Macaca fascicularis: one gene and its partner. The protein of the gene in region 2 interacts with the protein of the main gene of each other region in a pairwise test. Links are inferred from orthologs where the notes say so. Each region holds a gene or a part of one and is shown on either strand. Other genes may lie near its edges. The genes, in order: NELFE and NELFB.

Evidence for each region.
Region 1: the proteins of NELFB (region 2) and NELFE interact in binary tests that used the Homo sapiens proteins (3 or more experiments, as listed by UniProt). The link is inferred for Macaca fascicularis from reciprocal best matches to the Homo sapiens genes NELFB and NELFE.

What each region holds. Positions count from the first base shown.
Region 1 is NC_088378.1:139,752,565-139,768,081, reverse strand, and holds the end of NELFE (negative elongation factor E), read right to left. Parts: intron 14,667-15,517; coding exon 14,592-14,666; intron 14,470-14,591; coding exon 14,432-14,469; intron 14,266-14,431; coding exon 13,922-14,265; intron 13,810-13,921; coding exon 13,665-13,809; intron 13,502-13,664; coding exon 13,447-13,501; intron 13,203-13,446; coding exon 13,100-13,202; intron 11,780-13,099; coding exon 11,682-11,779; 3' UTR 11,467-11,681; downstream 1-11,466. Other genes in the region: complement C2, read left to right, coding at 2,356-2,496, 2,622-2,716, 2,814-2,925, 3,042-3,207, 3,315-3,391, 3,533-3,624, 4,123-4,249, 4,377-4,426 and 1 more; CFB (complement factor B), read left to right, coding at 5,618-5,681, 5,769-6,002, 6,404-6,589, 6,745-6,918, 7,139-7,240, 7,345-7,481, 7,752-7,890, 8,211-8,342 and 10 more. UniProt on the Homo sapiens protein: Essential component of the NELF complex, a complex that negatively regulates the elongation of transcription by RNA polymerase II.
Region 2 is NC_088389.1:2,051,102-2,066,829, forward strand, and holds the start of NELFB (negative elongation factor B), read right to left. Parts: upstream 7,441-15,728; 5' UTR 7,239-7,440; coding exon 7,137-7,238; intron 6,836-7,136; coding exon 6,672-6,835; intron 6,412-6,671; coding exon 6,312-6,411; intron 5,905-6,311; coding exon 5,674-5,904; intron 4,336-5,673; exon of another isoform or gene 3,955-4,335; intron 1-3,954. Other genes in the region: protein STPG3, read right to left, coding at 9,496-9,629, 9,779-10,082, 10,196-10,284, 10,585-10,719, 10,824-10,981, 11,513-11,622. UniProt on the Homo sapiens protein: Essential component of the NELF complex, a complex that negatively regulates the elongation of transcription by RNA polymerase II.

The DNA of each region.
Region 1 (15,517 bases), on a different chromosome or scaffold from region 2:
CTTCTCCCAGATGCTACCTTTTACAGAGGAAGACCACATCTGAGGTTTTGTTTCCATGTTATGTTCTGAGTTCTTTCTATTCATTCAGTCATTTAAAAATACTTACCAAAGTACTACAAACCTGGGTGGCTTAGAACACAGAATTTCTTTTTCTTACAGTTCTGGAGGTTAGAAGTCTGAGATCGAGGTGTTGCAGGGCCGTGCTTCCTTGGAAGGCTCTTGGGAAGAATTCTTTCCTGTCTTTTCTGGCTGCCGTTGGCTCCAACCGTGCCTTGGCTTGTGGCAGCATAAACCCATTCTCTGCCTCTGTCTTCAACTCGCCTTCTTTTCTGTGTGCACCTCTGTGTCGTTACATGCTGTTCTCTTATATAGATAGGAGACCCACTGCCTGTGTCTTTGTGTCCAAATTCCCTTCTTCTTCTTTTGTTCATTTGTTTGAGACAGAGTCTCGCTCTGTCACCCAGGAGCCCAGGCTGCAGTGCAGTGGCGAGATCCCAGCTCACTGTAACCTCTGCATCCTGGGTTCAAGAGATTCTTTTTTTTTTTTTTTTTTTTTTGAGATGGAGTCTGGCTCTGTCACCCAGGCTGGAGTGCAGTGGCCGGATCTCAGCTCACTGCAAGCTCCGCCTCCCGGGTTTACGCCATTCTCCTGCCTCAGCCTCCCGAGTAGCTGGGACTACAGGCGCCCGCCACCTCGCCCGGCTAGTTTTTTTGTATTTTTTAGTAGAGACGGGGTTTCACCGTGTTCGCCAGGATGGTCTCGATCTCCTGACCTCGTGATCCGCCTGTCTCGGCCTCCCAAAGTGCTGGGATTACAGGCTTGAGCCACCACGCCCGGCCGGTTCAAGAGATTCTTATGCCTCAGTCTCCCGAGAAGCTGGGATTACAGGCATGTGCCACCATGCCCAGCTAATTTTTGTATTTTTAGTAGAGACATGGTCTCGCCATGTTGGCTAGACTGGTCTTGAACTCCTGGCCTCAAAGCGATCTGCCTGCCTTAGCCTCAAAAGCTGCTGGGATTACAGGCATGAGTCACCACCATGGCCAGCCAATTCACTTTTTTTTTTTTTTTTTTTGAGATGGTGTCTTGCTCTGTTGCCCAGCCTGGAGTGCAGTGGTGCAATCTCGGCTCACTGCAACCTCTGCCTCCCAGGTTCAAGTGATTCTCCTGCCTCAGCCTCCTGAGTAGCTGGGATTACAGGCATGTGCCAGCATGCCCAGCTAATCTTTGTATTTTTAGTAGAGACGGGATTTCACTATGTTGATCAGGCTGGTCTCGAACTCCTGACCTCGTGATCTGCCTGCCTCAGCCTCCCAAAGTGCTGGGATTACAGGCGTGAGCCACCGTGCCTGGCTCACTTCTTCTTCTTCTTTTTTTGAAATGAAGTTTCGCTCTTGTTGCCCAGGCTGAAGTGCAATGGCACGATTGATCTCGGCTCACAGCAACCACCGCCTCCTGGTGATTGCAGGTGTGAGCCACCATGCCTGGCCCCGGCTTACTTCTTCTTGTTTTTATTATTATTATTTTTAGTGGAGATAGGGTTTCACCCAGTTATCCAGGATGGTCTCGATCTCCTGACCTCATGATCTGCCCACCTCAGCCTCCTAAAGTGCTGGGATTACAGGCATGAGCCACTGCGCCTGGCCTGGCTTACCTCTTCTTATAAGGACCCCAGTCATTGGACTAGAGCTCACCCTAATCCAGTATGACTCAATCTTAACTTGATTACATCTGCAAATACCCTTTTTCCAAATAAGGTCACAGATACTAAGGGTTAGGATTTGAACACATCTTTCTGGGGGACACAATTCTACCATTATAGGCAATAAACAGGATAAGAAAACCATAGAACCCAGCAGGTGGTAGGTGACACAAGCTAAGAGGTCTTGTCATGTTGCCCAGGCTGGTCTCAAACTTCTGGCTTCAAGGGATCCTCCCACTTTACCTCCCAAAGTGGGGATGAAAGTGTCTGGGGCATTGCAGTTTTAGACAGGAAGACCAGGGAAGGCCTCACTGAGAAGGTGACATTTGAGCCAAGACTTAAAAAGGTACGAAAGTGAGCTATGTGGAAGTCTGGGGGAGGAGTGAACTAGGCAGAGGCATAGCTGGGGCCAAGGGCCTGAGGTGTGACTACGCCTAAGGATTTGATAAACTTCAGAGAGGCTGTGTGCTACAGGAGAGTGAAGGGCAGGCAATGGCAGGAAATGAGGGCAGACAGGTAGCAGTGGGGAGGACGCAGGGGTCCAGCTTATGTAGGTCTTGGTTGGACACAGTGAGTTTCAGATGACAGCCTCCTGTCTCATGGGGTAGCCCCAAAGCCACAGGAGTCTGGTGATTTCCTTCTTCCCCAACAGACATCTATGCCATCGGGGTGGGCAAGCTGGATGTGGACTGGAGAGAACTGAATGAGCTGGGGTCCAAGAAGGATGGCGAGAGGCATGCCTTCATTCTGCAGGACACAAAGGCTCTGCACCAGGTCTTTGAACATATGCTGGGTGAGTGAGCGTTGCCCTCCCTGGTGTAGGGAGGATGGTGAGGAGCCCGTCAGAAGCCCACGTTGGGAAGCTAGACACAGTGCCCTTCATTTGCTTCCTTCCCCATCTGATCCTCACACCCACAGATGTCTCCAAGCTCACAGACACCATCTGCGGGGTGGGGAACATGTCAGCAAACGCCTCTGACCAAGAGAGGACACCCTGGCATGTCACTATTAAGGTACCAGGAAGGAGGGGCGGGGCTTGGATTCCAGAGGTGAAAGTGGCCATGGGCCAGAGATACTGCAATCCCTGAAGATCACCTGTTCCCCCTGTAGCCCAAGAGCCAAGAGACCTGCCGGGGAGCCCTCATCTCCGACCAATGGGTCCTGACAGCGGCTCACTGCTTCCGCGATGGCAACGACCACTCCCTATGGAGGGTCAATGTGGGTAAGGCAGGGGATGCACCAGGCTCCCGATCCTGAAGCCACAGATCCCACCACCTGACCCAGCCTCTGGCCCCTGCAGGAGCCCTGGTCTAGCCTAATCTGGCATATCATTTCCAGGAGACCCCAAATCCCAGTGGGGCAAAGAATTCCTTATTGAGAAGGCAGTGATTTCCCCAGGATTTGATGTCTTTGCCAAAAAGAACCAGGGAATCCTGGAGTTCTATGGTGATGACATCGCCCTGCTGAAGCTGGCCCAGAAAGTAAAGATGTCCACCCATGCCAGGTGCCTGGAGTCTGGGATGGGAGGGTGCCCTCCAGGGGAGAGTGCTCTGGAGAGCCCTGGAAGAGATACTGGGGACAGGCTGGTGTGACTCTTGCTCTTCTCCCCAGGCCCATCTGCCTTCCCTGCACCATGGAGGCCAATCTGGCTCTGCGGAGACCTCAAGGCAGCACCTGTAGGGACCATGGTGAGTGCTGGGACTTATGGTGCTTGAGAGCTGGGGCCGGGGTTTAGGGGTGATAACAAGGACTAGGCTGCAGTCCCCAAGCCAGGAATCTGGATTCTGGGTAAAAGGACCAGCACCAATATCCTCTTCTCTTGACTATAGAGAATGAACTGCTGAACAAACAGAGTGTTCCTGCTCATTTTGTCGCCTTGAATGGGAGCAAACTGAACATTAACCTTAAGATGGGAGTGGAGGTGAGGGTCTCAGGTTGGGGATGCTGGGATCCCCCTGTGACAGCTCGCAGAATCTCTCTCTTCCTTCTCCAGCTCTGGCTGCTTTCTCTCTCTGACGTGGGTCACCTCTCCTCCCAAGTCTCACAAACCTGCTAGGTGTCCCTGAGTCTGCTTATTCTTTTGATGTTGTTGAGATGGAATCTTGCTCTGTCTCCCACACTGAAGTGCAGTGGCACGATCTTGGCTCACTGCGACTTCTGCCTCCCAGATTTAAGTGATTCTCCTACCTCGGCCTCCCAAGTAGCTGGGATTATAGGTGCTTGCCACCACATGCAGCTAATTTTTGTATTTTTAGTAGAGACAGGATTCCGCCAAGTTGGCCAGGATGGTCTTGAACTCCTGACCTCAAGTGATTCGCCCACCTCAGCCTCCCAAAGTGCTGGGATTACAGGCCTGAGCCATTGCACCCAGTCAGGTCTGCTTATTCTTCCCTTCTCTCTGGTTCCACCCCTACGGCAGTGGACAAGCTGTGCCGAGGTCGTCTCCCAAGAAAAAACCATGTTCCCCAACTTGACAGATGTCAGGGAGGTGGTGACAGACCAGTTTCTATGCAGTGGGACCCAGGAGGATGAGAGTCCCTGCAAGGGTGAGTCCCTCACCATGCCTGGATTCCCAAAGGGGAAGGCCACCTGTGTCTCTGTGGCCAGGGTGCATGCCAGAACACCAGTCCACTGCCCTGTATGACGCTGTCTCCTGTCACCCTTTGCTGGCAGGAGAATCTGGGGGAGCAGTTTTCCTTGAGCGGAGATTCAGGTTTTTTCAGGTGAGAAGGTGGAAGCTTGCAGGACCCAGGGGTTACAGGATGTCAGCCTTGTTGGGGGGATGAGGGAGGCCTTTGAGGGATCTAGGGAGGTTGGGGCTTACAGCTGGAGCTGTGGCAGCCTCCCAGCCAGTTCTCTCCTTTTCTCCAGGTGGGTCTGGTGAGCTGGGGTCTTTACAACCCCTGCCTTGGCTCTGCTGACAAAAACTCCCGCAAAAGGGCCCCTCGTAGCAAGGTCCCGCCGCCACGAGACTTTCACATCAATCTCTTCCGCATGCAGCCCTGGCTGAGGCAGCACCTGGGGGATGTCCTGAATTTTTTACCCCTTTAGTCATGGCCACTGAGCCCTCTGCTGTCCTGTTAGAATCCGCCCCCCCTCCATCTTCTACCTCTGAATGCCCACCCTTAGACTCTGTGACCCATGCCGTCTCCTAGTTGAGTAAATCTGGGTCTCTAGGATGCCAGGGGCAGCGCACACAAGCTGGGAAATCCTCAGGGCTCCTACCAGCGGGACTGCCTCGCTGCCCCACCTCCCGCTCCTTGGCCTGTCCCCAAATTCCTCCCCTGGTTGACTTGACTCATGCTCATTTCACTTTCATATGGAATTTCCCAGTTATGAAATTAATAAAAATCAGTGGTTTCCACATCTGTCTGTGACTCTATCTGGAGGCCAGGTAGGGCTGGCCTGGGGGGAAGGGGAGGCCAGAATGACTCCAAGAGCCACAGGAAGGCAGGTCAGAGACCCCACTGGACAAACAGTGGCTGGACTCTGTACCATAACACACAAGCAACAGGGGAGTGAGCTGGATCCTTATTTCTGGTCCCTAAGTGGGTGGTCTGGGCTTGCTGGGGAGGAGCTGAGGCCAGAAGGAGGTACTGAAGGGGAGAGTCCTGGACCTTGGGCAGCAAAGGGTGGGACTTCTGCAGTTTCTGCTTCCTTGACTGGCAGCTCAGCGGGGCCCTCCCGCTTGGATGTTCCGGGAAAGTGATGAGGGTAGGACAGGCGGGGCAAGCTGCAGGTGCCAGAACACAGATTGCATAAAAGGCCGGGAGCTGGTGGGGGGCAGGGGAAGGGAATGTGACCAGGTCTAGGTCTGGAGTTTCAGCTTGGACACTGAGCTAAGTAGACAAGCAAAACAAGCCAGGACACGCCATCCTGCCCCAGGCCCAGCTTCTCTCCTGCCTTCTAACGCCATGGGGAGCAGTCTCAGCCCCCAGCTCTACCTGATGCCCTTCATCTTGGGCCTCTTATCTGCAGGTAAGTGAGGGTAACCTTCCCTTCCTGCTGTCCCCAGCATCCCTCCTTGGCCTTTTGGGGCCAGGCTTCATCAGCCTTTCTCTTCAGGTGTGACCACCACTCCATTGTCTTCGGCCCAGCCTCAAGGATCCTGCTCTCTGGAGGGGGTAGAGATCAAAGGTGGCTCCTTCCGACTTCTCCAAGAGGGCCAGGCACTGGAATACGTGTGTCCTTCTGGCTTCTACCCGTACCCTGTGCAGACACGTACCTGCAGATCCACGGGGTCCTGGAGCACCCTGCAGACTCAAGATCGAAAAACTGTCAAGAAGGCAGAGTGCAGAGGTTTGAGGGCAATGAGTGTGGGCAGTGGCCTAAGGGAGAAACAGGGCAGGTGGCAGCAAGGTCAGGACTAGGATGAGACTAGGCAGGGTGACAAGGTGGGCTGACCAGGAGTAGGAGCAGTTTTAGGGTTGTAGAGGGAAAGGAAGGGAAAAAAAAGGGGAGTTAACCTTTAGTAAGCATTTACCCTGGGCTTCCACGCAGCCCTGGAAGTCAAGAGAACACTCAGCAATGGGGAGGGAGGAGCAGCGGAAACCCCTATGGGTTGAAGGGTAGGTAAGATGCAGCTTCTGCAGGACTGGGAATGCTCTGTTTCTCAGTGACCTGGTCTCTGAGACCAGGAGGGAAACACCTAAGGCAGCCTTTCCCTCTTGATGACTTCTACTTCTCCCCTCTTCTCAAAGCAATCCGCTGTCCACGACCACAGGACTTCGAGAACGGGGAATACCGGCCCCGGTCTCCCTACTACAATGTGAGTGATGAGATCTCTTTCCACTGCTATGACGGTTACACTCTCCGGGGCTCTGCCAATCGCACCTGCCAAGTGAATGGCCGGTGGAGTGGGCAGACAGCGATCTGTGACAACGGAGGTGAGAAGCATCCTCTCCCCCTACATTGCTGTCTCCCTGACAGCGCCTAGTCTGAGGAGTGGGCATTTGCCCCTGGACACTGTAACTCTTGCTCTCTACCTTGCCCTCGGGGCCTCAGGCTTCAGCGCTTACCTCCATGTCTCATGCCTCTGCAGCGGGGTACTGCTCCAACCCAGGCATCCCCATTGGCACAAGGAAGGTGGGCAGCCGGTACCGCCTTGAAGACAGCGTCACCTACCACTGCAGCCGGGGGCTTACCCTGCGTGGCTCCCAGCGGCGAACATGTCAGGAAGGTGGCTCTTGGAGCGGGACGGAGCCTTCCTGCCAAGGTGACCCTTGACCTGTACCCCCAGGTCAGATCCTGATCTTGCATCCTACTGTCTTCTCTCCCCACCTCAACCCTGCTCTTTCCTCACTTCTTTTAAACCTTCCTCTAGAACTGTCTCACTTCTGAGCCTTTTCTACCCTGGAAACCCACAATCCCCCGTCTCTTTGGTCACTGTGTCCCTGACACTCCCAGACATTTGACCTCATTTCTGACTCTCCCAGACTCCTTCATGTACGACACCCCTCAAGAGGTGGCCGAAGCTTTCCTGTCTTCCCTGACGGAGACCATAGAAGGAGTCGATGCCGAGGATGGGCACAGCCCAGGTTTGAAGGCAGAGAGGGGAGGCAAGGCAGGGAACTGGGGGAAAATGGAGAAGGGACAAGATAATCATTCATGCTGGAGCCTGAGTCACTCTCCTGGCACCCAGGGGAACAACAGAAGCGGAGGATCATCCTAGACCCTTCAGGCTCCATGAACATCTACCTGGTGCTAGATGGATCAGACAGCATTGGGGCCGGCAACTTCACAGGAGCCAAAAAGTGTCTAGTCAACTTAATTGAGAAGGTGGAGTCCTCCTATCCCTGAACTTGGGGGAATGGAATCTTGCTGATCTTCCAGGACTAGCTCCCTGATCATTCCAGCCCCTCTGAACCGCAGGGCCCCAGGAAAGTCTCCAGGTCCTATTCTGTCCTCCTTCCCTTGTACTTGATTCCTCCATGAACCTGTGCTTGAGCCTCTTCCTAAGAGCCTCCCTGTCCCAGCAACGTTGCTGAAGTCTCCCAATCACAGTATTCTACTTTCAATGCCATGGCGCCTTGTTCTCCTCACCCACAGGTGGCAAGTTATGGTGTGAAGCCAAGATATGCTCTAGTGACATATGCCACATACCCCAGAATTTGGGTCAAAGTGTCTGACCAAGAGAGCAGCAATGCAGACTGGGTCACGAAGAAGCTCAGTGAAATCAATTATGAAGGTCAGAGGTTAGGGAATGGTGGGAGGTTCACTTTGGGGTCAGGAGGTTCAGGAGTGTTGTGTGGAGGGGGTCATGAGACTACCTTGAGGGCAACAGGGGGACCACTTTGTAGTCAAAGGTTGAACAGCAGGGTCATTGGGCAATGGAGGTTAGTGGGAACCTGCTGAGGGCTGGAAGGGCCACTTTGTGGTCAAAGGGAAGTCCATATGATGATTAACTTAAAAAGTTGAAGATGTGAGATTTCAGTTGCAGATTGGTCTCTGGGGTTAAAAGATGGCTTGGAAGACCAGGTGAGGCGATGCTCTCTTCCCTCCCCACAGACCACAAGTTGAAGTCAGGGACTAACACCAAGAGGGCCCTCCAGGCAGTGTACAGCATGATGAGTTGGCCAGAGGACATCCCTCCTGAAGGCTGGAACCGCACCCGCCATGTCATCATCCTCATGACCGATGGTCAGAAGGGACCTCTCTCCTGTCCCAGCCTCCCCACCTTCTCAGACCAGCATGTGGCCCTTAAGTCCACTTGTAACACTATACCCATGGTTGGGGCCCTGAATGTGACTCGTAACTGGCTGTTCATCTCTCCTGTGACCCTTCATAAAGAATTATTCCTAAAGCCCTGTGATCAACTACCTCTAACCCTTCCTCAACTTACTCACCCTGCCACGTGTATCACTGCCTCTAGCCAATTTATCTTATCTCCTACCCTCATGGTCCCGTCTCTTCTGCAGGATTGCACAACATGGGCGGGGACCCAATTACTGTCATTGATGAGATCCGGGACTTGTTATACATCGGCAAGGATCGTAAAAACCCGAGGGAGGATTATCTGGGTGAGTAACCTGCCTAGGACCCAGCACCCTACTTCCTCAGGGCTTGGACCGTCATCCTTCCTTTTTCTCCCTCAGATGTCTATGTGTTTGGGGTTGGACCTTTGGTGGACCAAGTGAACATCAATGCTTTGGCTTCCAAGAAAGACAATGAGCAACATGTGTTCAAAGTCAAGGATATGGAAAACCTGGAAGACGTTTTCTTCCAAATGATTGGTAGGCAGACACAAGGGAATCAAGAACGCAACTCTCCTCAGCTTCCCCTGAAATAATTCATTCTTCCTCTACCCCTGAAGCTCTAGTTGCCTGGAAAGCCTTCTTCATTCCTCCTTCTCTACCTCAGTATCACTATTCTTGTTTCCTGGCACTGTTTGCTTCTTAACCTTAGAATCACAGAGCTCTAGGCACTTCAGAGATCTTTCTATTGTCCTACATTTGACACATGTGGAAACAAAGGCCAAAGGAGGTCAAGGGGCAGCAAGCTAGCAACAGGGCTGGGCTTGAAAACAGCCAGGCCTCTGATAGCTTGATCCCAAGTTCTTTCCCTTTTCACTCCACCACAGCAGTTTTCTCCTAACACGAGGAAACAAATACCTGTGGCCTTTCCCTTTCTCCTTTTGGGCCTCTGCCCCCCACAGACTTCTACCCAAAGGCTGCTGCCGTTTGGGAATGAAGTGTTCCAAGTTTTCAGCACATTCTCCTTCTCTGCCAGATGAAAGCCAGTCTCTGAGTCTCTGTGGCATGGTTTGGGAACACAGCGAGGGTACCGATTACCACAAGCAACCATGGCAGGCCAAGATCTCAGTCACTGTAAGCACAGAATCCCAGTAGTGAGGACTTGGGGGAGGTGAGGTCAAGGTGAAATGGGAGTAGGGGAAGGGCAAAATGGCCGTAAGAGATGGTGGTTTGTGAAAGTTGAGTTTTCCCTTTCTACTGTTCTGTTCCCAGCGCCCTTCGAAGGGACATGAGAGCTGTATGGGGGCTGTGGTGTCTGAGTACTTTGTGCTGACAGCAGCACATTGTTTTACTGTGGACGACAAGGAACACTCGATCAAGGTCAGCGTGGGTAAGGATGCAACTGAAGGTCCCGGGCTGCACCTACGCCCTCCAGGCAACACCTCCCACTTTCTACAGATCCCACACTCCACTCATCTGCAATGCAGCCCCATCCCTTGCACCCCAGACCAGTCAGGGATGGGGAAGACTTGAAGTTAGGAATGACATGGGGCCAGAGGCAAGAAGCTGCCCACAAAGAGGTGGTACCTATTCTCCTACTTCAAGGGAAGAAGCGGGACCTGGAGATAGAAAAAGTCCTATTTCACCCCGACTACAACATTAGCGGGAAAAAAGAAGCAGGAATTCCTGAATTTTATGACTATGACGTTGCCCTGATCAAGCTCAAGAATAAGTTGAATTATGACCCGACTATCAGGTGAGAGCATCCAGATCCCTGAGGAAAGGCTGGGAAAGGCTGGAGGACTGGGGTGAGGAGCAGGCCTAGTTTGCTGTTCTTTCTCCATCCTTTATAGGCCCATTTGTCTCCCCTGCACCGAGGGAACAACTCGAGCTTTGAGGCTTCCTCCAACTACCACTTGCCAGCAACAGAGTAAGACATACTAGGGGGGAGGATAAGGATGAGATCCCGAGACAAGTGAGGCATGAGAGGGAGATGCAATAGGAAGAGACGATGCCTGGCCCAGAACCTAGCACTAGGAAGGGCTTAGGGGACATCTGCTGAGTGACAAAGTCAATAGGGAGATGACAGTGGTGGGAGCAGCTGAAGTGATGCAGTCTATTTGTCCAGAGGAAGAGCTGCTCCCTGCACAGGATATCAAAGCTCTGTTTGTGTCTGAGGAGGAGAAGAAGCTGACTCGGAAGGAGGTCTACATCAAGAATGGGGATAAGGTGAGAAATGGGCATCCTAAGGAGGCACTCTAGGCCCTAATCCTTCCTAAGCCACCTCTGTTCATTACCTTTCTCCATGCTTCCCACCTCCCCTACAGAAAGGCAGCTGTGAGAGAGATGCTCAATATGCCCCAGGCTATGACAAAGTCAAGGACATCTCCGAGGTGGTCACCCCTCGGTTCCTTTGTACTGGAGGAGTGAGTCCCTATGCTGACCCCAATACTTGCAGAGGTGAGAGAACGCTCTCTGGTTGTGCTCCAAGTGCCCGAGGGCCAAGAGTCCTTTTCCCTACAGCTTCTCCTCTCCTTGCAGGTGATTCTGGCGGCCCCTTGATAGTTCACAAGAGAAGTCGTTTTATTCAAGTGAGTCCTCCCTTTCCTATCTGGGGAGATGCCAAGTGGTCAGCATGGGCCCCAAAGCAGGAAAGCACAATGCATGTGGCTAGTAATTCGAGGTGGGCAGAGCCTGCCTCACTTTAGGACTGCATGTCTGGCCTGTGTGTGTCAAGAATGAGGCTGAGCTGGGTCCCTAGCCTGATTCCTTTAGGTCAGCTAAGACACAATCAGGAACAGTCATGCTTCCAGGATTAGGAATTCTATGAATGATCCATGGCACCCCACTGCCTCTGCAGGTTGGTGTCATCAGCTGGGGAGTAGTGGATGTCTGCAAAAACCAGAAGCGGCAAAAGCAGGTACCTGCTCACGCCCGAGACTTTCACGTCAACCTCTTCCAAGTGCTGCCCTGGCTGAAGGAGAAACTCCAAGATGAGGATTTGGGTTTTCTATAAGGGGTTTCCTGCTGGACAGGGGCGCGGGATTGAATTAAAACAGCTGCGACAACACTTGTGTTCCAGATCCTTTTGGGGCAAGGGAGTGGGGAACGGGCACTGGCCATGTTGTTACACTGAGATCAAACCTGACACCCATTTTTAAAGGCTTAACCCCAATCCCAAGTGCTGAAAAACCAGAGGCTGAGGGAGATATGTAAGCTTCCACCTCAGTGTTTTACTGAGACCAGCATTGGGGCATTTGAGGCACAAGGAATCCAGCTCTGTTCCCTAGAAGCCATCCACAAGGTTTTCCTTGTAGACGTCATCACTGTAGACAATCTGGGTCCTCTTGTCCCGGTGGCAACCCTTAGGGCTGTTCTGGACAGCTAGGGAGGGAGGAGAGGAACAGTTAAGGTCTAAAGGAGATCATAGATCAGACCCTGAGGCTGACTCCTGACCACCTCAGTCCTGGCTGCTGGCCCCTGGAAACCCAGTTTCCACGCTGCCCTCTGGTGGCCAGGATGGCCTGTCTTCCTTAGCTCCTTTGTGCCAACCCATGGCCAAGGAGAGTGTAAGTGGACATTTTGATGAATGTTTTGTTCTTAGAAAAATCCCAAATGTCATTGTTGAGATATATGAATGATATTAACCCACTACTTATAGTCAGTATGTCAGAAGCTAAAAACTAGAAAACCTCTGTAGCCCTTTATTGACATGCTGGTCAACTCTAGTTCCTTTCTTTTGCCTGAAAGGCCACTGTTGCTCTGAGTCCTTCTTTCTGCTCACTCCTTTCCCAGGAAAATCTACTTTCAGGTAAATGGGTTACTCATACTAAGGAATGCTACTAGCTCCACCAGAACTCATCCAGCATGTAGCTTTGGCCCTCACCATTCTCTCTCAAGCCTCTAGCTGTTTCTTCCCCTTCCTCTTTTCCTCCCTCCACCAGACATGTTACTCTCTTCACCCCATCCAAAGATTCCATCCCCACCACCCTTGACCTAGAGAGAATCTCTCCCACCCACTTCTCATCCTGTGATCTCTGTACCTTGACACTGCTGGCTACTCCCTCTTTCTCAAAGCATGTGTCCTTTCGCTTCAGTGGCCCAGGCCCCTCTGGTGCTGCTCCCAGCCCTCTGACCCCTCCTCCTGTCTCCTTTGCTAACGTTAGGCTCAACGTTAGCCTAACGTGTCAGGAGAGCTGGAGACACGTGGGGCGTAAGGTGGACAGTCCTGTTTCCTAACATAGTCCCTGAGTATTCCTCAAGTCTAGTCCTGGGTCGTTTTTTTTCTCCGAAATCAGTCTCCCTCATGATCGGGGAGCCACCCTGTGATGCAGATGACTTAATCTATGTTTTCATTCCTTACCTCACACCTGAGTTCCAGACCCCTAATTTCAAATACTTACGAAATTCACTCTACTCCATCTCAAAATGAACAAGCCCCATGAGACACTCATCTTTCTCACCAATCTCACTCCAGCTCCCATTTTCTTCCCTGTTCCAGTCGCTGCTTTGGAAGCTGTTCTCAATCCTTTTCTCTCCTTTCTTTACCTCTAACTAACAGATGATCTGAAATTTTCCTTCCCATTCCCACAGCCTCTGCACACACTCTGACCTCGATAATCTCTAGGAAACCCAAGGATGTGTGGGGGAACCAAAAGGAGTGTGCTGTAGGGGAGAGGACGGGAAAGAAAATCCCATTCTTACCGAGGGAGCCCCAGACAGACTTGCCAGTAGCGGCATCCAGCATGGGCTGTTTCCGGGCTATGTTGACTTTGAGCTGTACAGACTCCACCTGGGTCCCGTTGAGCTAAAGCAGAAGAGGGGAGGCAGAGGATGGGGAGGAAAACATTACAGATACACCAAAGAAGCTATTCCAGGAGTTGCTATCCTAGGAGTAGACTGAATAAGGAATCTGAGAATGTAAGTTTTTCTGTGTGAATAGGGAGAGACTTTATCAAGAGGAACCAACTTCTTCCTGGCATCTAGTATTTTGATGAGAACACATGAGAACAGCAGAGGCGATGGGAAGAACAGATTTGCGAAGTTCCAACCTCAGCAACGGCCTGATCTGCTGACTCCATCTTTTCATAGGTGACGAAGGCACAGCTGGGATAAGAAAAAACAGGGTCAGTGGAGAGCCAAGGGGCTCTTCTGGACCCAACCAAACCCAGCGATCACAGGCGGCTGCCGGGAGGGCAGCTTCCTCCCTCAAGTCTCACACCCCAGGATTCGCCCAGGACTTCTCATCATGCCCTGTCGTCATCCTTACTTTCTGGGTGGGTCCATGGAGAGGTCAATGATGTTTCCAAAAGGAGAGAAGGCCCCACGGAGAAGGGTAGGCGTCATGTCTTCTCCGTATACATAGAGAGTATTCCCTTTCCTAGGGGCTCGCCGTTCAGGGAAGGAGTCCGACCCTTTGGGAGCAGGAATCACAGTCACAAGACATGGTCCATCCCACACTTCACTTAGTAGGACCCACATAAACCTCAGTTAAGGTCACCTTGACCTCCAGCCAAGATCACTCACTGCGGAAAGGACCCTCTCGGTCTCGGTCTCGATCCCGCTCCCGATCCCTGTCCCGTTCCCGGTCTCGATCTCGATCTCGATCTCGATCCCGATCCCGATCCCGATCCCTGTCCCGCTCTCGGTCTCTGTCTCGATCTCGCTCCCGATCTCGGTCTCTGTCCCGGTTCCTCTCATGGCTGCGGTCCCGGCTGCGGCTTCGGGGAGGGGAGGCTGAGGAGTGGGCACCACTGCGTTCTTCATAGCCCCAGTCAAAGCTTCGAGGGGGACCATCACCAGCCCCTGGGCCCTCTGCCTCTTCTCCATCTGGCCCTAGTTCTCGAAGTCGATCACTAGAAGACACAAAGCTGGGGAGATGCAGACTGAAGATCAAAGGGGGGTTTTACCTTCTCCCCTTGGACCCTGTGGAGACTCAATATTCCCTCAATAGCACAGCTTCTACAGCCCAAACCTCCCAAGGACTCAGGCAATCAACCCCGCCAAGTGGGCCCAGTCTTATCTCTACTCTCTAACCTCTCATACAGAGATTTCCTCTGGGGACGTCTAGATGACTGTAAAAGAGACCAAGAACAGTTAAGATGATTCCCAGTTGCTAACATGTAGTCCAAAATAAGTTAGTTTCTCATGTTCCTCCATCCCCAACCCCTCAGGGACAGAAATTAGAAGCCTTTACCTCTTGCAGGTCATCATCAGCAGATATGCTCCTCTGGAACGGCTGGAAAGTGGGGACTGGTCCCTTCTCGGGGTCCTGGAGAGGGGAGAGACCTACCTCAGTGTGGAGCAGGAGGCTGCCCAACCATGGAACAGAGATGTTCCTCTTCCCTCACCCTCTTCTAGATCTCCTCTGATCTCTTCTTTCCTTTTAACACTATATACATTTCTTATTTGACTATGTGGTTTTATTTATTTGTTTTTATTTTTTGAGACAGGGTCTTGCTCTGTTGTCCAGGTTGGAGTGCAATGGTGCAATCATAGCTTGCTGCAGCCTTGACCTCCCAGGCTCAAGCAATCCTCCTACCTTAGCCTCCCTAGTAGCTGAGACTAGAGATGCGCTCTACCATGCTTGGCTAATTTCTGTTTTTTTTTTTTTTTTTTTTTTTTTTTTGTAGAGATAGGGTTTCACTATGTTGCCAGGGCTGGTCTCAAATTCCTGGGCTCAAGCAATCCTCCTACCTTGGCCTCCTAAAGTGCTCTAATTATAGGAATGAGCCACTGCCACACCTGCCATTGCAGCTTTTTGGTTTTGTTTTGAGATAGAGTCTTGCTCTGTCGCCCAGGGTGGAGTACAGTGGTGCGATCTCCACTCACTGCAACCTGTGCCTCCTGGGTTCAAGCAATTCTCTGGCCTCAGACTCCTCAGTAACTGGGACTATAGGCGTGCATCACCATGCCCTGTGAATTTTTGTTATGTTTAGTAGAGACGGGTTTCACCATGTTGGCCAGGTTGGTCTCAAACTCCTAACCTCAAGTGATCTGCCCACCTTGGCCTCCCAAAGTGCTGGGATTATAGGCATGAGCCACCACGCCTGGTTGATACTTTTTATAAGTGACTTGATATGTTATATATTCAGTTTATTTCAACCTCTCTTGAATCTGATA
Region 2 (15,728 bases):
GCGTGAGCCACCACACCTGACCCAGTTTTTAACTTTTTTTTTCTTCTTTTGAGACTGAGTCTCACTCTGTCGCCTAGGCTGGAGTACAGTGGTTGCAATCTTGGCTCACTGCAACCTCCGCCTCCCGGGTTCAAGTGATTCTCCTGCCTCAGCCTCCTGAGTAGCTGGGATTACAGGGGCACACCACCACACCTGGCTAATTTTTGTGTTTTTAGTAGAGATGGGTTTTTACCATGTTGGTCAGGCTTGTCTTGAACTCCTGACCTCGTGATCTGCCCGCCTTGGCCTCCCAAAGTGCTGGGATTACAGGTGTGAGCCACTGTGCCCGGTCTAATTTAACTTTTTAAAAGAGAATTGGGCTGGGCACGGTGGCTCATGGCTGTAACTGCAGCAAATTGGTAGGCCAAGGTGGGTGGATTACCTGAGACCAGGAGTTCGAGACCAGCCTGGCCAACATGGTGAAATCTCGTCTCTACTAAAAATACAAATATTAGTCAAGCGTGGTGGTGGGCGCCTATAATCCCAGCTACTCAGGAGGTTGAGGCAGGAGAATCACTTGAACCTGGGAGAATGAGGTTGCAGTCAGCGGAGATCACACCACTGTACTCCAGCCTGGGCAACAAGCAACTCCGTCTCAAAAAATTAAAATAAAATAAAGTAAAATATAAAATTAAATTAAATTAAAATAACATAAATAAAATAAAAATAAAATAAAATAATAAACTCAGCCGGGCACAGTGGCTCAAGCCTGTAATCCCAGCACTTTGGGAGGCCAAGACGGGCGGATCACGAGGTCAGGAGATCGAGACCATCCTGGCTAACACAGTGAAACCCCATCTCTACCAAAAATACAAAAAACTAGCCGGGCGAGGTGGCGGCCGCCTGTAGTCCCAGCTACTTGGGAGGCTGAGGCAAGAGAACGGTGTAAACCCGGGAGGCAGAGCTTGCAGTGAGCTGAGATCCAGCCACTGCACTCCAGCCTGGGCGACAGAGCGAGACTCCGCCTCAAAAAAAAAAAAAAAAAAAAAAAAATTACAAAAAATTAGCCGGGCGTTGGCGGGCGCCTGTAGTCCCAGCTACTTGGGAGGCTGAGGCAGAATGGCGTGAACCCGGGAGGCGGAGCTTGCGGTGAGCTGAGATTCGGCCACTGTACTCCAGCCTGGGTGACTGAGCGAGACTAGGTCTCAAAAATAAATAAATAAATAAATAAAAATAAAATAAATTTAAAGAATAACAATAAAATAAGCAAATAAAGGCCGGGCGCGGTGGCTCAAGCCTGTAATCCCAGCACTTTGGGAGGCCGAGACGGGCGGATCACGAGGTCAGGAGATCTAGACCATCCTGGCTAACACGGTGAAACCCCGTCTCTGCTAAAAAATACAAAAAACTAGCCGGGCGCGGTGGCGGGCGCCTGTAGTCCCAACTACTCGGGAGGCTGAGGCAGGAGAATGGCGTGAACCCGGGAGGCGGAGCTTGCAGTGAGCTGAGATCCGGCCACTGCACTCCAGCCTGGGCGGCAGAGCCAGACTCTGTCTCAAAAAAAATAATAATAAAATAAAATAAATAAGCAAATAAAATAAAACAAAATAAAATAAAAATAAAAGAATCAACCTAGGACTAAGCAGACCAAGCAAGTCCCTCACAGACAGAAATCGGTATGGGCAGCACCAGGTCACCAGAAGAGATGGGGCAGGAGAAAGGCCTGGGAAGTGCAGGGCACCCCACCGTTCGCAGAGGGGTCCAAGGGCTCTGTCTGACAGCAACGGAACAAGAAAAAGGCCCGTGGAGGACCTGACTGGGAATAAACAAACAGGGAAGGGAGGACAAAGGTGGCACTAGCCACCCCCAACAAGCCCATGCACGTGGTCAGGACCCACGGCCTGAAGGGAGCCCAGAGCCACACGAACTCTTCAGCACTTGAAGTGCAATAGTTCAGAAGGGCGCTAAGTGTGAAAGACTCACCAGGTTTCAAATCTCAGTGATGCTCCCACAAAAAGCATTACAGTTCAGTATTTTTTTTTTGCTTGTGAGACAGTGTCTCTCACTCTGCCGCCCAGGTTGGAGTGCAGTGGCTCAATCACACCTCACCGCAGCTTCAATCTCCTGGGCCCAAGCGATCCTTCTGCTTCAGCCTCCTCAGTAGTTGGGACAACAGGCATGCGCCACCATGCTGAGTTAAATGTTTTTTCTTGTAGAGACAAGGTCTCCCTTTGGTCTTCAACTACTAAACTCAAGCGATCCTCCCACCTCAGCCTCCCAAAGTACTAGGAGTACAGGCGTGAGCCACGCTACCCAGCCCAATCCTTCACATGAATTACATGCTGAAAGATAATACTTTGGATACACGGGACCAAACAAAACATTAATGAAATTGATCTCACTTTTTTTTTCTTAATGTGGATATTGAAAAATCTTAACTTATAGTTCACTTTATCTTTCTATCGAACGGTGCTAAAGTTGGTTACGGCCAGGCTCACACCTATAATCCCAGCACTTTGGGAGGCCAAGGTGGGCGGATCACCTGAGGTCAGGAGTTCCTCTTGGTTCAGCCTGGTCAACAAGATGAAACACTGTCTGTACTAAATAAATACAAAAATTAGCCAGGCATGGTGGGGCTGGCCTGTAGTCCCAGCTACTCGAGAGGCTGAGGCAGGAGAATTGCTTGAACTCAGGAGGCAGAGGTTGCAGTGAGCCGAGTTCGAGGCACTGCACTCCAGCCTGGGTGACAGAGCAAGACTCCATCTCAAAAAAAAAAAACCAGAAAAAAAAAAAAGGGCCAGGCAGAGTGGCTCATGCCTACAATCCCAGCACTTTGCGAGGCCAAGGCAGGCAGATCACGTGAGCTCAGGAGTTCAAGGCGAGCCTGGCAAACACGATGATACTAAAAACACCAAAACTGGCTGGGCATGGTGGCACACGCCTATAATCCCAGCTACTGGGGAGGCTGAGGCAGAATAGCTTGAACCCAGAGGCAGAGGCTGCAGTGACCCCAGACCACACCACTGCACTTTTGCCTGGGTGACAAGAGCGAAAGTCCTGTCTCAAAAAAAAAGGGAAAAGGCCGGGCGCGGTGGCTCACGCCTGTAATCCCAGCACTTTGGGAGGCCGAGGTGGGCGGATCACGAGGTCAGGAGATCGAGACCATCCTGGCTAACACGGTGAAACCCTGGCTCTACTAAAAATACAAAAAACTAGCCGGGCGAGGTGGCGGGCGCCTGTAGTCCCAGCTACTCGGGAGGCTGAGGCAGGAGAATGGCATAAACCCGGGAGGCGGAGCTTGCAGTGAGCTGAGATCCGGCCACTGCACTCCAGCCTAGGCGTCAGAGCAAGACTCCGTCTCAAAAAAAAAAAAAAAAAAAAAGTAAAAAAAAAAAAAAAAGAACGGAGTGAACCCAGGAGACGGAGCTTGCAGGGAGCCGAGATCGCGCCACTGCACTCCAGCCTGGGCAATAGAGAGAGACTTCGTCTCAAAAGAACAAAGAAAATTGTCAGCAAGTTTCAGTTTAGAACAATGCCAATATTATTAACAGACAGAACCCTGGGTTTGCTATCCTCTGAAGAATGAAAAACAACTCAACTGCAACCACATTAACAAATCATTTAAATACCTGAAAACTGAAGGACCAGGCCGAGCGCGGTGGCTCACGCCTGTGATCCCAGCACTTTGGGAGGCCAAGGCGGGTGGATCATAAGTTCAGGAGAGCGAGACCATCCTGGCTAACACAGAGAAACCCCAGCTCTACTAAAAATACAAAAAATTAGCCAGGCGTGGTGGTGGGCACCTGTAGTCCCAGCTACTTGGAAGGCTGAGGCAAGAGAATGGAGTGAACCCCAGGCGGAGCTTGCAATGAGCCAAGATCGCCCCACTGCACTCTAGCCTGGGCAACAGAGCAAGACTATGTCTCAAAAAAAAAAAGAAAAAAGAAAAAAAGAGGGCTACCCCGGCTACTCTGGCTCAGCATGGCTGCTTTGGCAACTGTTCTCTTCATAGGTGTCTGGAGGCTGCACTGTGGTGCAGCCGCTTGGGCGGGCGGCCAGCCAGTGGCTACTACAGCAGGGACTGGCGGCCAACCCCTCCGGCTACGGGCCCCTTACAGAGCTCCCAGACTGGTCATAGGTGGACGGCCGCCCTGCTCCCCCAGTGAAAGGCCAGCGTGGAAGAAAAGCTGAAAGGGAGAAGTTTGCAAGACGAGTTGTACTGCTGTCACAGGAAATGGACGCTGGATTACAAGCATGGCAGCTCAGGCAGCAGAAGTTGCCGGAAGAACAAGAAAGCAGGAAAATGCTCTTAAACCCAAAGGGGCTTCACTGAAGAGCCCACTTCCAAGTCAATAAAAAGCAACTCTTGCCTCCCTTTCTCAGCCCCTCTCTGGATTTCTTATCACCTAGATGCTTCATCCCAGCCAGAAGAGAGCCTTCACATTCCCCATCCGTGTTCGGAGCAAAAGAGCCGGGACACCAAGAACAAGCTGTTAGATCACTGCCTGGGAGGTCTGGCTTAGTGCCCTCATCTCTGGCTCCATTCCAGTTCAGCTAAGTCTTGCTTTAAAATGTTTACCTCCTTTGCAGGCCATAGGACTGGCCCAACTATGAGAAATAGCTGTTCTGTGAACATGAAAACGGGACAGCAGTTTTCCTGGTTCTAGCCAACACTCAAGCCTTTACCAGCCCACACACAGCTTAGGCCATGTATAGCTGTCATCTAATACATGTTTTCGTGAAACAGAAAAAAAAAAGTTGAAGGACCAAACAGAACTTGCTTTTTAGAGGTGGGCCGGGGGCGGGGAGGTGCCATATACAGTGGCTCACGCCTGTAATCCCAGCACTTTGGGAGGCCGAGGCGGGCGGATCATGAGGTCAGGAGATCGAGACCATCCTGGCTAACACGGTGAAATCCGGTCTTCAATAAAAATACAAAAAATTAGCCGGGCGTGGTGGCTGGCGCCTGTAGTCCCAGCTATTCAGGAGGCTGAGGCAGGAGAATAGCGTGAACCCGGGAGGTGGAGCTTGCAGTGAGCCAAGATCAGGCCATCGCACTCCAGCCTGGGCGACAGAGCGAGACTCCGACTCAAAAAAAAAAAAAAAAAAGACCGGGCGCGGTGGCTCAAGCCTGTAATCCCAGCACTCTGGGAGGCCGAGGCGGGCGGATCACGAGGTCAGGAGATCGAGACCATCCTGGCTAACACGGTGAAACCCCATCTCTACTAAAAAAAAAAATACAAAAAAAACTAGCCGGGTGAGGTGGCGGGCGCCTGTAGTCCCAGCTATTCGGGAGGCTGAGGCAGGAGAATGGCGTAAACCCGGGAGGCGGAGCTTGCAGTGAGCTGAGATCCGGCCACTGCACTCCAGCCCGGGCGACAGAGCGAGACTCCGTCTCAAAAAAAAAAAAAAAAGAAGTAGCGGAGGCAGGTGCTGTAACTTCTCATTAGGGGCCTTTCTGTGGATTTTAATGTTGTCCATATATCACTTTAAAGAAAAGTAAACTACAAACATAAAAACCACCAACATTCTTTCCAGCACGGGTACAGGCCAGCTCTCCCCCGCCGCCCAGCCAAGAAGCAGAACCATCCAACCATTCACAGGGCAGCAGGGTGTTGATCCCCAGGCAGCTGATGGGGCCAGCCATGGCACCCCCAAAAGGTGCCCCGCCCTGCACACGGCCTGTCCCCTCACCTCGCCCTGGCGCCTGGTCTTGGGGGAAGGGCTGAAGAAGTTGTGCAGGACAGAGAGCTCTGTGCTGAACAGCGCGCTCTCCTTCTCCAGGATGTACTGCTTCAGCAGCGGGGAAACCTCGTCCCCAAAGAGAGCCTGGTTGTCTTGCCAGATCTGCCGCTTCACCTCCACGGCACAGGCTCGATACAGCTCCTTGTCAGCCATGACTAGCTTCAGCTTTTTCTCAGGAACCTACATGACACCACAGGCAGCCTGTGAGTGGCCCCTGTGTCCCTGGATCTCCCTTAAGACAAGCCAAGAGACCTCAGCCCCCCCCCTCCCAAGACCACCTCCCGCTAAGCCCTACCCCACAGGACACCTATGACAGGTTCCCTGGCCCCAGCAGGTTCATGCAGACAAGCCAAATACCAACAGCTCTATCCCAGGGCGGGCCCCACACCCCAACTCCAGTGCTAAGGTTCAGTCTCCACGCTGCTCATGCAGGAGAAGCCAGACAAGCTCACCATAGACAGCACTCCGGCAGGCGGCGTGGGAAGCTCCCGGAGCTAGGTGGCCACCAGAACTTCCACCAACTTAAGGGCATGAGGGGTGGGCGGACGGTCCACGCCATCACGTCCGGGTTAGGGTTAGGACCCTACCTTGGGCAGGTGCTTCATGACGCACATCACCACGGGCTGCAGGGACGGCATCTTGACCAGAGAAAAGCTCTTCTCCAGAAGGTCTTCCAGCTTCTTGTACCTGCAACAACTCACAGGATTGATGGTGCAGCGATGCGCCAGATCAGAGCAGCTACCTGCTTGTCCCCACACAGGTAACAGCTACCAGGACAAGCCTCCACGCGCAGGACACATGGGGCAAGGCTCCACACTCAGACACAGAGCCAGGCCACCTCTGGGAGCAAGGATGTGGAGCCAAAAGGATGATAAATGCCCCTGAGTCGATCCAAGGCTGAGAAGACAGCCGCACATCTCACCTGCCCATCCCTCCCGCTGACCCACCTTTCCTCAGCCTTCCCTTCCGAAGCGATGGCTGACACTCGCTCCAGCAGCTTGTCCCGCAGCTCATCGAACACCGACTGGTGGAACTCCAGCCGCGGCGTCCCGTGCAGGTCCAAGAAAGGGAGGGCCGACTGAAGAGAGGGCAGCAGCACGCCATTCTCTGTCTGAGGAAGTCAAGAGAAATCTCAGCCGCAGCCCAGTGCGCCCGGGCACCCCAAGGTTCTAAGAGCTCGAACCCAGGGAGGTACGAACCCAGGTGTTCCCAGCCGTGCTGGCGGTAACCGCAGCCACCGAAAGCCACCCAGCCGTCCAGCAAAGGGATGCTGGCTCCGGACTCCACCCCCAAAACAAGACTCAGACACCGAGAGAAAGCCGGAAAACTTCCGGCGCCTCCGCCAGGCCCGACTCCGGCGCAGGCAGCCCTGCCCTCGCACCGGGCTCCCCCCGCCCCGGGGGCTGCCCCACCTGGAACTGCTCGATGGCCTTGAGTGGCTCCGTGCAGTTGGTCAGGGTCTCCTTCAGGTCCTCGCCGTTGGCCACGCCCAGGTCCTGCAGCCCCGCGAACATGGCCGAGGCCCCGGCCGCCGCCCGGCTAGGCGCCCCATCCCCAGCCCGCTCCCCCGGCGCCGCCGCAGACACCCCAGAAGCCCGCTCCGCCGGGCCTCGGGGGCCGCCCGAGCCCCGCTCCCCGGCGCCCTCCAGCTCGGCCAGGTCCCGCCCGCCGCGCGGCTCCGCGCGCGTCCTGCAGCCGCCCACTTCCGCCCCGCACTGCCCGGGTCCGCCCGCCAACCGGCCCCCTGGAAACGCCGCCGGAGCCGCGCGCAGGTTCCTGGGAGCAGCGCCCTCTCCCGGCGCGAGAGACCCCGCCCAGGCAGCCCACTGCGCATGCGCCCGCCCGGTCCCGCCCGCTCCCGGGGTTTCTGGCAGAAGAGGGCGGGTGGGAGCGTGGGGGCGGAAGCGGGGTCGGTCTGATCTGCCAACTGACGTCAATGTCAGCCGAGTGAATTTCGTGTACACAAGCTTGGAAAACGCTCTTGTTGATCTCGCGGCAGCCACGCGCCGCGGGGACGTTTTGCCGGGGGTTGAGCTCCCCGCCCCTCCGCTCTGCAGGTGCAGGACACGGGCGCAGACTCCCTCCCTCCTGAGCGTGGCTTCCTCCGCGTGAAACGGGCACGAAGCCCACCGCAGCGCTGTCGCCAAGACTGAGGTCTGAGCGCCTTCAGGGGGCCGGGGCCTGGCGGAGACCGGGCCCGCAGCGGGAGCGCGAGCGACGGCCGCCCTCCCCGGCACCGGGAGGCTGTGGCGCCCACCGAGCTCCGCGGAGCCGTGAGGGAGAGTCCAGTTTCCACAGTGTCCCTTCTCATCCCAGGCGGGTGGGCTTCCCGGGCCTCCCCGCCTCTCCAGCCCGCCGCCCTCCCGCAGGCAGTGCCCCGCCAAGCACCCTACACACACCCTCTCTCTTTTCGGTCTTCCCTGCCGAGTTTTTCTCTAGAAATTTCTTTCCCGCTGCCCAACAAACTCTTGCTCTTCCTTAAAGGCTCCTTCCTCCACCTCCTCCAGGAAGCCCTCCCTCCTCAGCCCAGCTGGAGGAGATCGTTGCATCCTTCCTGCCGCTCCCACTCCTAGCTTTGTGTCTCACCAGGGGTGCCTGGTGGTGCAGCCATGAGCAGAGCTCCTGTTCCCACAAGCGGGGCCAACCTCCCAAGGCCAGGGCTACCACGGCTCTCTTGCTGCTGGCCAAGTTGGTCACCCCAAGGGCGAAGGTACCAGTGCCTTGATCCAACCCCCAGCTGGTTCAGTGGCAGAGGAGGGCAAGGGACACAGCACACACACAGCCCTAGGGCCTTGGATTCCTCTCTGCCAAAGGGGATGGTGCTGAGGCCACAGGAGCAGCTGCCCAGAGCCTTTTTGAAGGGGTTGAGCTCTGGGCCTGGTCTGGGTCCTGGGTCTGGGAAGGACTTGGGGAGGTACAGGTGATGGCACTGCAGTTAAGCCTCCTGCAAGGTGGCAGCCTTGGGGCCCAACCCTGGGTAGGAGGGCAGGCCAGTGGTGACAAGGGAGGCCCCAGCCAGGTGAAGCTGCAGGCAGGGGCAGTACAGGGACCCGGCAGGTGAAGGCCCTGGGAGTCTGCTGGCAGTGCCACAGGAGTCTGCAGGGCCCTGGGCCAGAGTTTTCAGGGCACAGGTGACTAAGCCCAGCTGCGTCTTCAGCTCAAGGCCCAGGGGAAGTGGGGTTGGGCCCTGGTGAGCGGGGTCCCTGGGCCCTTCCTGAGACCTGGCCAGGCCGACCCCACCTGGAGGTGGCGGCTCAGGGCATTTGGTACCTCCTTCCAAGTTCCCTGGCTTGGCAAGCGGCTGACCCTCAGGTGGACAGCAACTGGACCAGGCCCCTAAGTGGCACGGCTGGGTGGGGGTGTCCCACAGAGCCCACCTCCCATCTCGCTCCAGGCTGGAGCTCAGGGTGAGTCGCAGGCTGCCGCCCTAGAGAAGAGAGCACCCTTCAGGGGCAGCCGAATGGAGATCCCTCAACAGGGAAAGCTGGAAATGACCCAGGACCGCCCCCAGGTGAAGGACACAACTGCACACCACAGAGCTCAAGAGAGCCAACAGCGTCTCTGTATAACAGGGAGGTGGCCAGATGAGGGATCCAGGCTGGGCCAGCCTTGTCTACAGCCCATAGAAGGATTGACCAGCCGGAAGGGTGCATCGGGGGTGCCCAGAGGGTCAGAAGGCCAGGCTGGGGCCCCGAGTCCCAAGGGAGGCCTGAGAAAGCCCCGGGGGAGGCCACTCGGTGGCTGGGCCAAGCAGGTTGTGCCCAGCTGGCTCTAGAGTGCACAGAAGGGGCCTGTGTTGTGGCGCTTGGGTCTGCGCACACCCTGGATGACCACGCCAGGCACTGAGGGGAAGCGTGAGTTGTAGCAGTCCTCCACGTAGTAGGCAGCTGGGCCAGGGGTTCGAGCTGCCAAAAGAGAAGGCTGAGAGCTCCACCCAGGTGGCAGCCCCCACTTGAACCTGGCTCCCGGTTCCCACCCTTGGCCCCTGAACCCTTGTCTTCACAACACGCACCCATGCCCCAGCCCTAGCCCTCCTCTCTCCAGGCCTCCTTACAGGTGCTGAGCCAGGAGGTGAACGCGGGGGAGCGGCTCATCGAGAAGGCCGGCGAACGGGGCCTCTGCAGGCGGCTCCCAGGAAGGATATTGTAGGTGTTGGGGCCAGGGTGTCTCTTGCCAGGTGCCTGCAAAGAGGCCTGAAGCAGGGACTGGGGCTGCATCCTGAGGCCCAGCCCCCTGGCTCCAGGCAGCCCTGGGCGGATGTGGCCCTCAGGTGTCTTGGAGGTGGAGTGGCGGCCTCTGAAGCTGAAGGCGGGGCCGGCGGGCCGGCTGAACAGCTGGTAGTGGGCTGGTGAGGGCCACTGCAAGGGGGCAGGAGACGGGGGCTGCAGGGCAGGGCGCTCCCCACGGATCCTCAGCCAGCTCCCCTTTGGCCCCGCTGGAACTCCCAGCCCCCTGCCTGCCCAGCCCCCACCTTTTGCTCTTGGTCGAAGTCGGCTTTCTGCGTGAAGGGGCTTTCACTCTGGAACCACAGAGTCTGCCATGCCCTGCGGCCACCGCCCTCTGTAGGTGGAGGGTGGAGAGAGAGAAGGCTGGGAGCCCCACCCAGGTGGCAGCCCCCACTCGAACCTGGCTCCCAGTTCCCACCCCCGGCCTCTGAACCCTTGTCCTCACAACGCCCACCCATGCCCCAGCCCTAGCCCTCCTCTCTCCAGGCCTCCTTACAGGCGCTGAGCCTGGAAGTGAACACCGGGAGGGTGGAGGGGCCCTCAGGCCGTGGCGGTTTCAGCTCAGAGGCAGAGGCCCCCATTCCCAGGGTGGAGGACAGGCCCGGTGGTCGGGCCTCAGGGAGGGGACACGCACCTCGGCCCCGGTGCCTGCAGCCGATGCTGTAGCGGGGGTGTGGGGAGGACTCTCGTATGGACGGGCTGGGCACCTGGTACCTGGTGGGACTGGGGACTTCCAGGTCAGCTGTGATCGGGGGGCGTTGCTCCAGCACTGGCCACAGGAAGCAAGCTCTGGGCCTGGGCTCCTTCCAGCAGGCCCCTCCCACAACCCCCAAAGACCAGCGTTGGGGTGGGGTGGCCGGGACCCTCACTCACACAGCTCTCTCAGGGTCTGGGTGTAGGTGGGCAGGGACTCCTGAGGGGTGCCCATCTGTAACCTGAGACCAGCTGGGACCTCCTTCATCTTTGGGAGCCGTGTCTCATCCCAGGCCAGCCCTGGCTCCAGGCCCACCAACAGCACAGATGCCTTGGGCCTGCAAGGGAGACCGGCAGCCACTGTCCCTCAGTCCCCACCACTCTGAGCCGCCTGCCCCACAGCCTGTCCCCCACACTGTCCCTCAGCCCCCTGGCTGCTCCCAGCCACCAGCCCAGCAACCTGCTCCCCCACTCTGTCCCTCAGCCCTGGCCACTCCCAGCTGCCTGTCCCACAGCCTGTCCCCCACTCTGTCCCTCAGCCCTGGCCACTCCCAACTGCCTGTCCCACAGCCTGTCCCCCACACTGTCCCTCAGCCCCCTGGCTGCTCCCAGCCACCAGCCCAGCAACCTGCTCCCCCACTCTGTCCCTCAGCCCCCGAGCCGCCTGCCCCAAAGTCTGTCTCCCTAACTGTCCCTCAGCACCCCCCCGCCGGCTACTCCCTGGAGCCTGCCCCTACCCTCTGTCCCTCACCTCCCAGGCTGCTCCCAGCCGGCCTGTCCCACAGCCCTCCCCCCACCGCTGTCCCTCAGCACCCTGGCCACTCCCAGCCGGCCTGCCCCTTCCCGCCCCACCGCCCCCCTCAAGTTACTGGCTGGGCTCTGGTGGCGTCTGCCTCAGGTGGCCGTGGGTCCAGTGTTTGCCTCCATTGATGTAAAAATTTGCCAGGAATTTCACTGCCTTCTGGTCAAAATTCATCATCAGAGTCTCCTGGCTCTCTTCCCCGAGGGCACCACCAGGCTCTGTGACCTCACTGGTAGGCCCCTCTGTTGCTGGGGCTCCTGGGGAAGATGCATTGTCTGGCCCTGGAGGGGCGGCCCCGGGCCCCCACGCCGGGCGGGCCCCTCCCCCACTAACTAGATGATCACGGGGTCTGCCTGGGCCAGGACCCCCAGCCTGCCCCAGTGACTCCTGGCCCAGCCCTCTCCCTTTCCCCCTAACTTTCCCAGCATTCCTCCCCTCTCCTGCACCCTGGGGTCTCCTGGAAGTCTGGGGTCCACTCTAGCAGGTCCTCTGGGAGGACTGAGGCCTCAGCAGAGGGGGTGGAGGGAACAGGACCCAGGGCATCCGCCAAGCCCTAGGAGATGCCCAGCTGTGTCTGGCCAGCCAGGACTCCCTGGGGGTAGGAGGGAGGGGTCCAGGAAGGATCCCTGGAGGAAGAGGAGGAGCTGCCACCCCACCTGGGTTCCCACTTAGGGAAAAAGCAAAGCCACATCAGATGGGTCTGACACCAGAGGCAGGCCCGGCCCTGGGGCCCAGCCAGGACTGGAGTGTGAGGGCCTGCCTCTCACCTGGGGACACAGAGACTAGAAGGTGTCACTGATGGCCAGGCTGCCTGCTCTGCAAAGGAACAGCCAGCCTGCGTGAGCAAGAGCCCGTGTGGGCACCAAGGCCCTCGCTGTGTGGCCTCTGGAGCTGACCGCCAGCCGGTCCCAGCCCTGACCTTGGCCCAGAATCCACCAGGGCGGGGCCTGTGAACAGGGCCAACTCGGGCCTCCTCCGCCCTCTCTGGATGCCTGCCCTTCAGCACTGGGCCTGCCAGGCAGACAGATGGACACATGCTTGAGGAAGCACAGGATTTATCTGGGCGAAGGGTTCACGCCCTGAGCTCCGGAGCCCCTGTCCAGGTCGCGCCAGGTTCAGAGTTGACTGGCTGCCAGTGGAACAGAGTGCACTTTGCTCATGAAGCCCTTGTCATTGGACAGATAGGCCCCTCCAGGTCCTCCCTGTCCTGTAATAAACGTTGCCGCTGTGAATGGCGCTGCTGGACATCCATCCTCTCCTTCGGAAGGTGCGTGGGGGAAATGCTCTCGTGGTGTCCGGCTCTGCACCCACACCACCACAGCCGTCACAGAAGGAGGCTTTTGTTCAAATGTTGGGGGGGTTGTTCCCCCACACACCAAGCTGGGTGTCCTCTAATTCATTTCCTTCACCATCTACCTGGAGACAGTGTCAGATCCCACAGGGTGAGAGCTCCCTCCCAAGACGGCCTCCAGACACAGACGGGGGCAGGGCCTCCAGACACACACCAGTCGCAAGCCTGGGCCTCTGGAACTTCTGACCAACTGGCTTCAAGTTGGGGTTCCTATGACACCCGCTTTGGGTTTAATTTGGTGTAGCCACTCATAGAACTCAGGGAGGCCGGGCGCGGTGGCTCACGCCTGTAATCCCAGCACTTTGGGAGGCCAAGACGGGCAGATCATGAGGTCAGGAGATCGAGACCATCCTGGCTAGCCTGGTGAAACCCCGTCTCTACTAAAAATACAAAAAAATTAGCCGGGCGAGGTGGCGGGCGCCTGTAGTCCCTGCTATTCAGGAGGCTGAGGCAGGAGAATGGCGTGAACCCAGGAGGCAGAGCTTGCAGTGAGCCGAGATCGCGCCACCGCACTCCAGCCTGGGCGACTGAGCAAGACTCCGTCTCAACAAAAAAAAAAAAAAAAAAAAGAACTCAGGGAAATGCTGATGTTTACTGGTTTGTTGTAAAGGATATTGATTGCAAAGGATACCAGTGAGAGGCATGGGGATGGGCTGGTGCTTCCATGCCCTCGCTCACTGGTCGCCGCCCTCTGGGAACCTCCAGCTGTTCTGCTGTCCAGAAGCTCCCTGAGCCCCAGTCATCTTGGCATTTTACAGAAGCTTCCTGATGTCAGCATTGCTGTCCCTGGGGCTTGGGTGAGACCTCTCCTGGGAGGGTCTTAAGACCCACAATCAGGCCGGGCGCGGTGGCTCAAGCCTGTAATCCCAGCACATTGGGAGGCTGAGACGGGTGGATCACGAGGTCAGGAGATCGAGACCATCCTGGCTAACATGGTGAAACCTCGTCTCTACTAAAAAAATACAAAAAACTAGCCGGGCGAGGTGGCGGGCGCCTGTAGTCCCAGCTACTCGGGAGGCTGAGGCAGGAGAATGGCGTGAACCCGGGAGGCAGAGCTTGCAGTGAGCTGAGATCTGGCCACTGCACTCCAGCCTGGGCGACAGAGCCAGACTCCATCTCAAAAAAAAAAAAAAAAAAAAAAAAGACCCACAATCGGAAAGGCAAGAATGTTAGCATCCTGCGTTGGGGCAGACGAAAGGAGGGCAGGAGAAGGTCAAAGTCCCCCACCCACACCCCCCCAGGCCTTGTACACCCAACATTCTAACACAAGGCCCTATCAAGGGCTGTGGGAATTACCAGCCAGGAGCGGTGGAGGAGAACCAGCGTCTACCAGAATGCCAGACAACTTCCTAGGAGTGGAAGCAATGGTCCAAGTTTGTAGTGTCTTGTATGGACTTGATCTGTATGTACCAAATTGCTTTCCAGAAGGTGCCACCCGAATTAGACGTCCTTCTCACCGTGAGCCTGCCAGCAGTAAGCCTCAGAAACTGCTCTCAACACACAATCAGCATGTATGTGATTATGGTTCGACTTGATGCCCGCACACTTAACGGACTGTGGTCTTTTTTCTTTTTTTCTTTTTTTTTTTTTTTTGAGACAGAGTCTCGCTCTGTCGCCCAGGCTGCAGTGCAGTGGTGCTATCTTGGCTCACTGCAAGCTCCACCTCCCGGGTTCACGCCATTCTCCTGCCTCAGCCTCCCGAGTAGCTGGGACTACAGGTGCCGCCGCCACACCCGGCTAATTTTTTTTTTTTTTTTTTTTTTTTTAGTACAGACAGGGTTTCACCATGTTAGCCAGGATGGTCTCGATCTCCTGAACTTGTGATCCGCCCACCTCCACCTCCCAAAGTGCTGGGATTACAGACTTAAGCCACTGCGCCTGGCCAGTCTTTTTTCTTTTTTTTTTTTCTTTTTTTTTTTTTTTTTTTTTTGAGGCGGAGTCTCGCTCTGTCGCCCAGGCTGGAGTGCAGTGGCGCGATCTCGGCTCACTGCAAGCTCCGCCTCCCGGGTTCCCGCCATTCTCCTGCCTCAGCCTCCCGAGTAGCTGGGACTACAGGCGCCGCCACCACGCCCGGCTAATTTTTTTGTATTTTTAGTGGAGACGGGGTTTCATTGTGTTAGCCAGGATGGTCTCGATCTCCTGACCTCGTGATCCGCCCGTCTCGGCCTCCCAAAGTGCTGGGATCACAGGCTTGAGCCACCGCGCCCGGCCCAGTCTTTTTTCTTAAAAAGTTCATATTGGCCGGGCACGGTGGCTCATGCCTATAATCCCAGCACTTTGGGAGGCCGAGGCGAGCGGATCATGAGGTCAGGAGTTCGAGGCTAACACGGTGAAACCCCATCTCTACTAAAAATACAAAAAAAAAAAATTCATATCATGTCTGCATTTTCCATGAGGTGTTGTTTATATCTTTGTTTTGTGAGAGCTTTTAATGCTGATACTGTCATGCCCATCCATGTGAAGAGACCACCAAACAGGCTTTGTGTGAGCAATAAAGCTTTTTAATCACCTGGGTGCAGGCGTGCTGAGTCTGAAAAGAGAGTCAGCGAAGGGAGATAAGTGTGGGGCCGTTTTATAGGATTTGGGTAGGTAAAGGAAAATTACAGTCAAAGGGGGTTCTCTGGTGGGCGGGAGTGGGGATCACAAGGTGCTCAGTGGGGGAGCTTTTTGAGCCAGGATGAGCCAGGAAGCAAGGACCAGCCATTTTCACTTCTTTTTTTTTTTTTTTTTGAGACGGAGTCTCGCTCTGTTGCCCAGGCTGGAGTGCAGTGGCGCGAGCTAGGCTCACTGCAAGCTCCGCCTCCCAGGTTCACGCCATTCTCCTGCCTCAGTCTCCTGAGTAGCTGGGACTACAGGCACCCGCCACCATGCCCGGCTAATTTTTTTTGTATTTTTAGTAGAGACGGGGTTTCACCGTGTTAGCCAGGATGGT